Linked DNA regions of Caenorhabditis elegans. The protein of the gene in region 4 purifies or fractionates together with the protein of the main gene of each other region. This does not show direct contact. Each region holds a gene or a part of one and is shown on either strand. Other genes may lie near its edges. The genes, in order: R160.10, fkb-1, acbp-1 and cuc-1.

Region 1 (2,971 bases), on a different chromosome or scaffold from region 4:
AAGTTTGAAAAAATTTTAAAGAGTATGCCGAGATACATTTTGATTTGCAATCAAAAGGATCCATAAATTAATCTCTTAAAATTTTAAAGAATGGATCGTAAATGACAAAAGTACAGTAAAGTTGGGTTCATTATTTTTAAAACTTAAAATGCCAGTACTAAAAAAAACTTTCAAAACTTTTGTTAATGATTTAAGAATTAGTTTGCAATTTTATTTTAAATTTCTTCGTATTTTTAAGTCGTTTCTCTAAACTTTTATAAAATTTATTAAGGATTTTTTCCTTATTTTTGAACATGTTCATTGTCAGTGAGAAAATAAGTAGAAAGGCAGGAAATTTCGGGGAAACATATATTTTTTTCAAAACTGAGAGCATATATTTTTCAGGTCTGAATGCAATACTATTGTAGACATTTGTCATTGTTAGCACTGCACAGATTAATTATTGATCTCCTTTTTTTGTTAATGAATGTTGATGTTACATATGTCAATTTCTGAACAATTTTTCATATCGATTTTGGTTGAAACCAATAAGTATACCTGTATATTTAATTAATTATCCTTCTTAACTTTTTGTTAGTTTCAATTACTATTTCGCAAACCTGCATGACTTGTTTCAACATGGACATCATCAAATGCATCTATCTCATCTTGCTCCTAATTTGGTCAATATTTTTGTAAGTGACGATGATCTGAAATTATTTTTAAATAGTTATGGAAATTATAGCATCATCCTATTCATAACTCTCATCAGAGAATGGTTCTTCCCACAGCCCCGTTTTTTCGAAAGATTTGAGGATGAAGAGGAGCCAAGTCGTCCACAAGGATTTGTATCTCTTGACGTGGAGCAACTGGAGCAAATGCATGGGCTGGAAGTATATGCTGCCAACAAAGTGATCATAGACACTGTTCCACTTCTTCCTATTTAAAGTAAGAAAAATGTTCGTAAATTTTTTCAAAATTTTATTACAGACGATCAACATGCACCATATGTATTCATAATTTGTAACAACGATAAAATTGAAATACAGTAGTATAGACTATTTCTTTTTAGTAGCTCTCGAATAACTTTTTTGTGGATAAATTTTAGCGTGCCCTTCCGTTTTGGTTAATATTTTGGTATTGTTAGGTTGCCAAACCATAACTATTATTTTGGTTTGATCAGAGGTGTGCGGTAATTGGTAAGTTGAGCAATTGCTGGTTTTTGAATTTGCTGCAGTGAGCAATTTTGGAACTGGCTGAAATTGCCCAAATTTCGGATTACTGGAATTCTTAAACTTTTCTTAAACCATATTTATGATTGTAAAATTTAACCTTGACGTAATTCATGTGTTAATTATTTCGTCAGACATTTTTTTTCTGTGTGAGGAGTAAAAATTCTGGTCTAAAATGCATACATGTACACGCTTTTATAAAACATTTCAATTCTCATTATCGGCGATTGAAAAATATATCGCACACATCTCATTTCAAGATTCAGATACCTCATTTTTATACAACTCAAACTTTACCATGGACGTCCAGAATTTAGTGACCATTGGATTTTTGATAGTTATCGGTTTGACTTCGGCGGTGGTCATGTAATTTCTTATTCCACTTTCAAAAAATAATTCAATTTTATCCAAAATTTTAGAATTTGGTACTTCATTGCCGAGGTGTTTCAAAACATGCATAAACACATTGCTCGAACCACAGTCATCCGAGTTGAAGCTACCATTTAGAGGTTGCTGTCATCTATTTTTTTCAAATTTTTTAATGGGAATTAATTTCAGAAATTGTACTGCTAATCATAGATGTTTCCTGATACACCCTACCGATTGCCCATTACTTTTTTACACCAATAAACGTATTTAAATTATTACCGATTTATCTTCTATTACTATATCCCACAAGGTTGTTAATCCTTGTCTCATATTTATAAGTTTCATTTTTTGTTCAACATTCCGAATTATTTGTCAGATGGAAACAGCTCAAACAATCAAATATCATGTTCCGCCGATGCTCATTTTTTTGGTTGTTGTCCTCTCGTGTCTCAGGTGAGAACAAAGTTTTCAGGAGTCTTTTAAAAAACAAAATGAACATTTTTGAATTTCCAGCATTGGTTTTTTGGTAGACTACATCATGCAAAAGTACGGTTGCTGTGGACGGAGAGGAAGTTGCTGCCGGCCAGAGCTGGAAGGAGATGAGGACGCTGAGAACGCTCAAGGGTCTATACCCCTAGCATCACTTGGAACAACTAACGACCCATTACCAGGAAGACTACCATTGCTGTCACGAGCTCCTATCAACAATTCACGCGTTTAAGTGTCTTATTGTATTATTTTCCCAATTGCTATAACCCGCATAATCATACCACACATTTCAATAAATTGTCATAATTATCATTGAAACCTAGAGAGAACATAAGTTTGTGTTTAATTTTTATATGTATAAAGTTATTACTGAATAAATTGGCAATTTCAAAATGATTCCATTTAGCCCCAATTTGCAATATATACGAAAATTAGATCAATAGGTTTTTGTCATGTGTCCCTTTTTTTCGTACTGTTGTGTAGTATCCAGTTATAGAATTATTTCCAGACATTACAAAAACATTCTCTATATATCAACAAACTCGAATTATTTTGTTTTAAAAGCGTCGCTGCTCAGAGAATTCAATGGCTCCGTATCACACTGAGCAGCGACTCATGCAAATTCAAATTGTAATTGTTTACTGAGTTTGAATCTATGCACTCATAGATTATTGGCTCGGCCAGTACATACTTGCAAGTCTCTCAATCAATTAAGAATAGAGGTTTATGTTTTTGATGTGTTTTTTACACAGTATTTGCTCTTCGCCTCCAATCCCCCTTGCCCTCTTCACCACTTTTTCATGTTCCCTTTCCAACATTTTTTTGTGCGCATATAGCATCTGCCAATTTTCTTCCATCTACTCAATCTGTGCATTGCCCCGTGATGAGCAGCGAGTGACGAA
Region 2 (3,148 bases), on a different chromosome or scaffold from region 4:
AACCTACTGAGACCCCAGAATACTGCCGGTATTCTGTCAGGACTCATTAGGTTTAGTGGAGAGTTGGAAATGAAACTAAAACCTAATGAGACCCCAGAATACTGCCGGTATTCTGTCAGGACTCATTAGGTAGAGTGGAGATTCACAGAAGAAACTAAAACCTAATGAGACCCCAGAATACTGCCGGTATTCTGTCAGGACTCATTAGGTAGAGAGGAGACTCACAGAAGAAACTAAAACCTAATGAGACCCCAGAATACTGCCGATATTCTGTCAGGACTCATCAGGTAGAGAGGAGATTCACAGAAGAAACTAAAACCTACTGAGACCCCAGAATACTGCCGGTATTCTGTCAGGACTCATTAGGTAGAGTGGAGAGTTGGAAATGAAACTAAAACCTAATGAGACCCCAGAATACTGCCGGTATTCTGTCAGGACTCATTAGGTAGAGAGGAGATTCACAGAAGAAACTAAAACCTACTGAGACCCCAGAATACTGCCGGTATTCTGTCAGGACTCATTAGTTAGAGTGGAGATTCACAGAAGAAACTAAAACCTAATGAGACCCCAGAATACTGCCGGTATTCTGTCAGGACTCATTAGGTAGAGAGGAGATTCACAGAAGAAACTAAAACCTAATGAGACCCCAGAATACTGCCGGTATTCTGTCAGGACTCATTAGGTAAAGAGGAGACTCACAGAAGAAACTAAAACCTAATGAGACCCCAGAATACTGCCGGTATTCTGCCAGGACTCATTAGGTAGAGAGGAGACTCACAGAAGAAACTAAAACCTAATGAGACCCCAGAATACTGCCGGTATTCTGTCAGGACTCATTAGGTAGAGAGGAGATTCACAGAAGAAACTAAAACCTAATGAGACCCCAGAATACTGCCGGTATTCTGTCAGGACTCATTAGTTAGAGTGGAGATTCACAGATGAAACTAAAACCTAATGAGACCCCAGAATACTGCCGGTATTCTGTCAGGACTCATTAGGTAGAGATGAGACTCACAGAAGAAACTAAAACCTAATGAGACCCCAGAATACTGCCGGTATTCTGTCAGGACTCATTAGGTAGAGAGGAGATTCGCAGAAGAAACTAAAACCTACTGAGACCCCAGAATACTGCCGGTATTCTGTCAGGACTCATTAGGTTTAGTGGAGAGTTGGAAATGAAACTAAAACCTAATGAGACCCCAGAATACTGCCGGTATTCTGTCAGGACTCATTAGGTAGAGTGGAGATTCACAGAAGAAACTAAAACCTAATGAGACCCCAGAATACTGCCGGTATTCTGTCAGGACTCATTAGGTAGAGAGGAGATTCACAGAAGAAACTAAAACCTACTGAGACCCCAGAATACTGCCGGTATTCTGTCAGGACTCATTAGTTAGAGTGGAGATTCACAGAAGAAACTAAAACCTAATGAGACCCCAGAATACTGCCGGTATTCTGTCAGGACTCATTAGGTAGAGAGGAGATTCACAGAAGAAACTAAAATCGTATAGAACCCGCGATGATCACATCTATCCCATGTGCACTAAATTTCCTCGTTTTTACTGGATTTTTGAATGTTTCAGTTGAAAACCAATCTGTTCCGTTTTTGGGAACGGAGTGGATTGATGCCGAGGCTTTGAGGCAGCCTTTGCGAGAGATTTGGCACTCATTTTGTCTGAAATTAATTATTTATAATAGAAAAACTGAATTATTTTGTAAAATTTGTAAAGAAAACGGTAAAAATCTGTTTAAAACTCGGGAAAACTCAAAAACTATGAACTATGAGTTAAAAATCCGACAAAAGTTGCGCCAACAACTTTTGCTGACCCATTACTCGTTTTCTCTGCGTCACAACGCCACGTTTGCTTGACTTTTGTTTGCACACCTTCGATTGCTCTTTTGCACTGATTTCTCTGTCCATTTTTCTATTCATAACGTATTTTTTCAATAATTTTTCGTTGTATTGTGCTTCTAAAAATCAATTGTATTGTTGTAGGATCATGAAAACCGCTGTTATCGTTGGACTTTTGTGCCTATTGGCGATCGCATATGCTGCCGATGAGCAGAAAATCGATAAATTGCAAATTGGAGTCAAGAAGCGTGCCGAGAACTGCGTTCAGAAATCCAGGTAAGCTTACTCTTTTTAATTAAAATAAAAATGTTAAATTTACAGAAAGGGTGATCAATTGCACATGCACTACACCGGAACCCTTCTCGATGGAACTGAATTTGATTCCAGCCGCACTCGCAATGAAGAATTCACTTTCACTCTTGGACAAGGAAATGTTAGTTTTTAAAGAAAAAACCAATATCAATAATTAAAATTGAAATTATAGGTGATCAAGGGATGGGATCAAGGACTTCTTAACATGTGCGTCGGAGAGCGTCGTATTCTCACAATTCCACCACACCTTGGATACGGAGAACGTGGAGCCCCACCAAAGATTCCAGGCAACTCTGTCCTCAAGTTCGACGTTGAGCTCATGAAGATTGACAGAGACGGAGAAGAATTGTAAACGAACTACGGATATTTAGAAAACGTGCCTTTTGTAACTTATTCATGTTCTCAGAGTATAATTTTTTTTTGCAGTTTTTTTTTTTGTCTTTATAAACATGCCCATTCTATATATTTGGACCGTCTGCGGCCATTGATCACAACCGCGTCTCGCTTCTCTTTATCACCTTGTATTGCACTCTGTCAGCGAAAATGATAGGGTGTGCGAGACATTTATCAATTTCCATACACCTTTTTCTCTTCTTACCTAGTAATGCCTTGCTTTCTTAGTTTTTAAGAATGATTATTTTAATCTGAAAATCTGGAATCAACAGTTTCGTAAATATTAGAATTCAAGTATGTGGTTCCTCTGTAAATAAAAAGCACGAATCGAAAAAGGAAATGCATTTTTGAAAATGTCGAACAATAAACAAAAAATTGGAATTCTATTAGTAGAAACCCAATTAAAACTGGCATCCATGAATTATTGCACCAACGATCCGAATGCTTCTTTTCTCTTTTTTTTTGTTCATGCTCCATCCTAACAATAGTTATAAATTGAGGTCGATTCTTGCTCTTCGTTGTCTTCTCTCAACACACGAGTAAATTGAGTATTCCTTGAGAGCCTCCTGTGAGAGTATTTGTGAGCCTTGT
Region 3 (2,935 bases), on a different chromosome or scaffold from region 4:
TTTGAGTAATCCAGAGTTGAAGAAATCTTGGTAGGAGTTTCTGAGTTTGTGAAGTCAGAAATTTAAAGATCAGAAACTGAAAAAAATAATTTTGGACCAAAAAAAATGAGATTTGCGAAAAACCGGTTTCTAAGCGACTGATTTTCTAAAATTCCAAAGAGTGTGTGCCTTTAAAGAGTACTGTAGTTGCCGAAAATTTGCTTTTAAAAATATTTAAATAATGGGCAAATTAGCTATTTTTCAAAAAAATGGATCTTTTTTATTTTTGAAATATTGGAAAAACGAAATCTATAAAAATGATTATTTCAGGCTGGAAGATGTGAAACTAATGGCTGACCGTATCAAATCAATGCGTACGGCTCTAAAAGACGGCCTGAAAGCTGAAGGATCTACTCTCAACTGGGATCATATTACCAATCAAATTGGAATGTTTTGTTTCACTGGAATCAATGAGAAACAAGTTCAAAAGCTCATCAAAGAGCACTCAGTGTACTTGACAAATGATGGACGTATTTCTATTTCTGGTATTAATACTGGAAATGTTGCATATTTGGCTAAAGCTCTCCATGACGTCACCAAGTAATGATTTCTCTAAGTTCTCTACGTGTCTAAGTTTCTTTCCGGTTTTATTGAAATTCAGGTTTTGCTTTTTTAAAAAGTCTATAAAATGGTTTTTGGATTTTCTTTTTTCGTCAACATTTTTTCTTTCTTCTTTTGGGTTCACATTCCCATTATCTTATCTTTGATGTTTTTCTTCCTTTGTTTGTTTGTCTTTTTTTTTTTAATTTCAATCTGTTTTTTTATTTTTAGGCTTTAAATCAATTTTATTATTGGTGGGTGAAACTTGGAGTTTTTATAGTTTTGTAGTCAAATTTCTATTTCCAACAAAATTGAGAAAGTCTAAAAATTGTGGCCTTTATCCGTTTTTAATAAGATACGGAGCTCATTCAATGAGAAAATTTCAACTTCCTCCATTTTTCCATTATTTATATCAAAAATTGTTGTTTTTAGGGCTCCCGATCAAGAGTTTCACCAAAAAACTATTAAAACTAAAAAATATTTTTAAAAATCTAATTTTTCTTCCTTCCGACCAAAAATTGAAATTTTTTAAAGAGTTTTTAAGATCGAAAAACCAAAAAAAAATCCTTCTTTGCCCAAAAAAAAAAACGAACTTTTTCCTATTACTCAATTGCAGAATTTTGCGAGTTTCGACGCAACAACACGACACCTGGTCTTGGCACGATCGAAACCTTGCAGCTACAGTACCCACCAGCTTCACTTAATTGCAAAAACTATGCAGTTGTTGAACATGCGAGTACTGTAGCTGTGAAGTTTCAGTCGCTTCGAGACCCGGCACCGTATTTTTAAATTAACAATTGCTGGCGATTAGGTAATAACGCTTTTGCTAAAACCATCGGTGTCTTATCAAAAGTTAATAATTTTTTTCAAGAAAAGAACTGAAAATTGCCAAAATTTCTTTCTTTTTTCTAAACATTTTCATATTTTGTCCTTCTTCTGTGATGGTGTGATCACATAGTTTGATATTGACCACGAAACGTTGTTGTATTCTCAAAAAATTGATACGATTTTTTAGTGATAACAAATGATAAGAGTGTCCGTTTTTCTGACTGTATACTTCTAGTGCGTGGTTGTGTACGTCAAGATAAATACAATATACAAAGTGCCCTTTCATCATTATTTTTCATGTTTCATTATTTTAAAATCTCTTAATTTTCAGGTTCAAACTTTCAACAAGCTCTTCTCATCGTCTTCAAAATGACCCTCTCGGTAAGCTTCAAATTCCGATGTAGAAAATCCAAAATAATCTCAAATTCAGAATAATGACAACAACAGAAAGCAATAATTGTAAAACCGTGATTTTTCAATGTTGGCAAATTCCCTTCAAAATAGCGGAGGGAACTTAGTCAAAATTGAAAAAGAGACATTTTTATAATTTGGCGATTTTTTTCTGAATTTGAGACTACTTTAGATTTTTTGAAGCAAAATGTTGATATTTTCCCAATAAAATCTCACTAAGTCTTTTCAATTTTCAGTTCGACGACGCTGCTGCCACCGTTAAGACCCTCAAGACTTCCCCATCGAATGATGAGCTTCTCAAGCTCTATGCTCTGTTCAAACAAGGAACCGTCGGCGACAACACCACCGATAAGCCAGGAATGTTCGATTTGAAGGGAAAAGCCAAGTGGTCTGCCTGGGATGAGAAGAAGGGACTCGCAAAGGATGATGCTCAGAAGGCCTATGTTGCTCTTGTTGAGGAGCTCATCGCCAAGTACGGAGCCTAAATAAATTCTGTTTGATAATACGTTTTTTTAACATTTATATTTTTGTAATGAAGATTCTGTGATTCCGAAGAATTTAGACATAAAGTTGCCTATTTGATCAGCAAACTTGAACTTTCAGAAGAATGCATTTTCCATGTTCCCTGTTCCGAGTGATCTGCAATTTCTTTTTTTCCGGTCTGCTACTCTAAAACTTTGGTTTATCCGAATAATTTATAAATCAAAACCGCAACTCTTTTAAATTGGTAATAATACAGTAAAAGAGATGTTAAAAAGAGTGAGAAGTCAACAAAATGAGGGTATTCAAGATTAATGAATGGGGGGACAACACAACAATAATGATAACAACAAAAAATGGAGGAAAAAGTAAAAAAAAAAGAATGAGATTTTTGGGTTTGTTCAACAAAAGATGAAATTACTCGGCGGCAGCAGCAGCTGGAGCACCATCCTCAGCGAACACAGTACGCTTAGCCTTTGGCTCATCAGATCCATCTGCACCTTCATCGTTTGCTGACCGCTTATCACCTCGGCGGTCTCCGCGTCCACCTCTTCCACCACGACCTCCACGACCACCGCGGCCTCCTCGTCCGCCACGACCACCGCGTCCTCCACGTCCACCTCCTTGCCTCTGATTC
Region 4 (3,051 bases):
TGTCTGCAATTTCAATGTTTGTTGCAATGATTGGTAGATTGACAACTCCTGCAGTCATGAGCATGTTCAGAAAAGACGTAAGCTATTTTAGAGATTTTTGACAAATCTACTTGCTATCCATATTCTTAGGGAACCGCTGCGGAGTGGCAGAATATCTTCATAGGATGCTCACTGGCACATATTTTCTCTGGTTCAATATTCTTGTTATTCGGATCAGGAGAATTACAAGATTGGGCTAAAGTTGAGGATGATCAGGAGATGAATGAGAAAGAGAAGCTGAAGACAATTGAGAATGGTATTGTAGTTGTTGAAGAAGTAGATGTCAAAAATGAAATGAGCGCCACGTTGGTGAAAGAGGATTCGCTGTGTCTTTGATAATTTACATAATTTGCTGATGATTTTTTTTTTCATTTAATAAATATTTTAAAAACTTCTTTAATAAGATAATTATAATTTATTGATTAAGAATGTGCGAAAAAGACAGAAAACTTGTGAACATAAGATCAATTGTTGAGAAGGGTTTGAAGAATTTAGGCACTCGTCTCGTTTTCTCCGTCCACGCCTCCCACGTAGAGAACGTTGTTGCATCTAAAGTTAGAACATTTTTCAAGATTTACTACGATATAAATGTGCATAAGATTGTAATAACTTTAGTTTCTACGGCTTGAATTTTTTCTTTTAAAAAATGCACCAACCGGATAAGAATCTCTCCGAGATTTCCTTGACTGTTTCCGTCAATGTACTCCTCGGCGTGAGCCAGCTGCAGATTCATGTAGGAGTCGACAGCAACAAGGACACCTTAAACATTTGGCGCTTTTGGTGAAATATTTCATTATGTCAATACAAACCTTTGTACTCCATTCCCCACTTCAGTTTGCAAACGACAAACTTTCCGGTGAGACTGTTGAGGAACGGTTTTGGGTTCACTGGTTGAACTGCGGACATTTCTGAAATATTTTTAAATAATATATTTTGAAACGAGGGATATCGAAAATAGTGAAGGACACAAGTAATTTAAGCAATAAAAATACATTCAAAGCGTTTCCGAATCACAATTGTTATGTTTGAACAATTTAAGAAGTTTAAAACCCATCTGACGGTTTTTTCAGTGAGATGGAAAGATGTATCTATTTTCTAATAGTGACAAAGTTGTTTTAATAAACATAAACTCAACAAAACACATTTAAAAAGGTTAAAACGCTGCGAAATCCTCCATAAAAATGAAAAAAGAACCTTGAATTTTCGAAAGTTGCGCTAGCATCAGATAATACGACATACTGCAGACTGCGTATGCGACACCATACTTGACGACATAAAATTAATCATACCCATGCATCATGCATGAAAAAGATGTGGGTTTTGGTTTTTTAGTTAATTTAAACTGAGTATTTGTATTTTCCGCTTTTTCAATGTCCTTGTACTTTTTGAGTTTTAATAAGTTATGCTATCTAAATATAGTTAACTTCTCTTCAGCCTCGAATATCCTGCTAAATGGCTTTCGGACTACTGTAGATGATAAAACAGTTCTTTATATAAGGCTCTATTTCTTCCAATTCACAACATTTAACAGGCTCCATCAAAATGTTATCGTCTTTATTTTTCTCTTTAACTGATCACCCTTAAAATCGATAATTTTCTCACCCCATAAAAACGCTCGTTTCAAAGTAGAAGATGAGTGAGACGCCGAGAAAATAGAGAAGATGCATTAATGCAAAGCTGTGACGTCATTTGGTGTCTTTATCCTGTTTCTAAGCTTCTTTCTCATTTTTCCATAAATTTTTCCAAAAAGTAAAAAAAAAAACTGGAAAACATTTAAAAGTTGCTTAAACCATTCGAGTTGTCCCATCTCAATAGTTCCTTTTTTAATTATCGCAGTTTCTTGAAAACTTGATCAAAAAATGTCGAATGATGCAAATTCTCAGAGATAAAGCATTGACCACGAGTCGCCCTATCACTGTCTCTCCATTTTGCGTCTCTTTGTTCATTTCTTTTCGACTGTACTAATTCCAATCATTCAAATTAACGTTTTTCAGGCAAGCAGAAGCAGAGTTTCCAGATTTCTGACTCAACAAATATCATGACACAGGTAAATTATTTAACTTTTTACAAATTACAATTAAATATTCTCATATTTGTGAAAAAAAAAATAATTTGAACATTTTCAGTACGTTTTCGAAATGGGCATGACATGCAATGGCTGTGCAAATGCTGCGCGAAAAGTTCTAGGAAAGCTTGGAGGTTTGGTTTACTTTTTGTTAATCAAATTAATCCTATTATTCTACAGAAGACAAAATCAAAATTGACGATATTAACGTGGAAACCAAGAAAATCACAGTTACAACTGATTTACCAGCATCTGATGTACTTGAAGCTCTGAAGAAAACAGGAAAAGAGATCAAGCAACTACAATAAATGACCCTTTTGATTGTCTCTTTAATTTCTATCCGAATGGTTGTGAATATCGTTATTTTTTGACATTTCTGTAATTTTTGTATTAATTTATGACTCTTGCTTGTAAAATTGTCCTATTCTAAAAATAAACGCATTTTCTAAACTATAGATTTTCTGATGCAATATTTCATTCGAGTTCTTTTAACCGAAATAGAAGGTTTCAAATGTAAACACCTTTTCATGCATTGAACCTTATCCTTATTAGATTAAAGCGTCGACGCGTACATCCGGTGTAACCGTCCTTCTCAGAAAGGTAAACGTCGCATTTTCATTTCACTATTCCGCGTCTCTTGATTTCTACTTAATGTGTTCTGAAATCCTACTAACGATGTGGTGAGACACGTCGTAACGAATCCGCTGAAATTTACATTGATGATTTGTTCGCGTTGCTCAACCACATTGTTCTCAAGGAAACTTTAACTGTTTATTAATAAAAGAAGAAAACAATGAGTGGAGGCTAACAAAACTATGAGATTCAGAACGATCCAACGGCCACCCGGCTGCTTTCGTAGATAAACTATCCCCAGAGAAGACTCATGGCGGAAAGAGGGAGGATCTGAAATATGAATTCTTAAATCTTTGAATTGAAAGCATAGGTGT

Evidence for each region.
Region 1: the proteins of cuc-1 (region 4) and R160.10 fractionate together in Caenorhabditis elegans (co-fractionation; one large-scale study listed by BioGRID). This does not show direct contact.
Region 2: the proteins of cuc-1 (region 4) and fkb-1 fractionate together in Caenorhabditis elegans (co-fractionation; one large-scale study listed by BioGRID). This does not show direct contact.
Region 3: the proteins of cuc-1 (region 4) and acbp-1 fractionate together in Caenorhabditis elegans (co-fractionation; one large-scale study listed by BioGRID). This does not show direct contact.

Annotation. Positions count from the first base shown.
Region 1 is NC_003284.9:4,366,498-4,369,468, reverse strand, and holds R160.10 (uncharacterized protein), read left to right. Parts: upstream 1-1,954; 5' UTR 1,955-1,956; coding exon 1,957-2,033; intron 2,034-2,093; coding exon 2,094-2,301; 3' UTR 2,302-2,443; downstream 2,444-2,971. Other genes in the region: R160.4 (DUF4845 domain-containing protein), read left to right, coding at 619-674, 725-926.
Region 2 is NC_003282.8:11,034,586-11,037,733, forward strand, and holds fkb-1 (peptidylprolyl isomerase), read left to right. Parts: upstream 1-1,996; 5' UTR 1,997-2,000; coding exon 2,001-2,128; intron 2,129-2,173; coding exon 2,174-2,285; intron 2,286-2,336; coding exon 2,337-2,516; 3' UTR 2,517-2,589; downstream 2,590-3,148.
Region 3 is NC_003279.8:4,635,183-4,638,117, reverse strand, and holds acbp-1 (Acyl-CoA-binding protein homolog 1), read left to right. Parts: upstream 1-1,738; 5' UTR 1,739-1,776; coding exon 1,777-1,788; intron 1,789-2,054; coding exon 2,055-2,303; 3' UTR 2,304-2,372; downstream 2,373-2,935. Other genes in the region: got-2.1 (Aspartate aminotransferase), read left to right, coding at 1-30, 310-583; ssb-1 (Lupus La protein), read right to left, coding at 2,716-2,935. UniProt on the Caenorhabditis elegans protein: Binds medium- and long-chain acyl-CoA esters with very high affinity and may function as an intracellular carrier of acyl-CoA esters.
Region 4 is NC_003281.10:7,859,966-7,863,016, reverse strand, and holds cuc-1 (Copper transport protein ATOX1), read left to right. Parts: upstream 1-2,031; 5' UTR 2,032-2,077; coding exon 2,078-2,086; intron 2,087-2,165; coding exon 2,166-2,238; intron 2,239-2,284; coding exon 2,285-2,412; 3' UTR 2,413-2,551; downstream 2,552-3,051. Other genes in the region: putative transporter slc-17.3, read left to right, coding at 1-77, 130-375; snr-5 (putative small nuclear ribonucleoprotein F), read right to left, coding at 531-588, 696-798, 849-945; tomm-7 (Mitochondrial import receptor subunit TOM7 homolog), read right to left, coding at 2,969-3,007.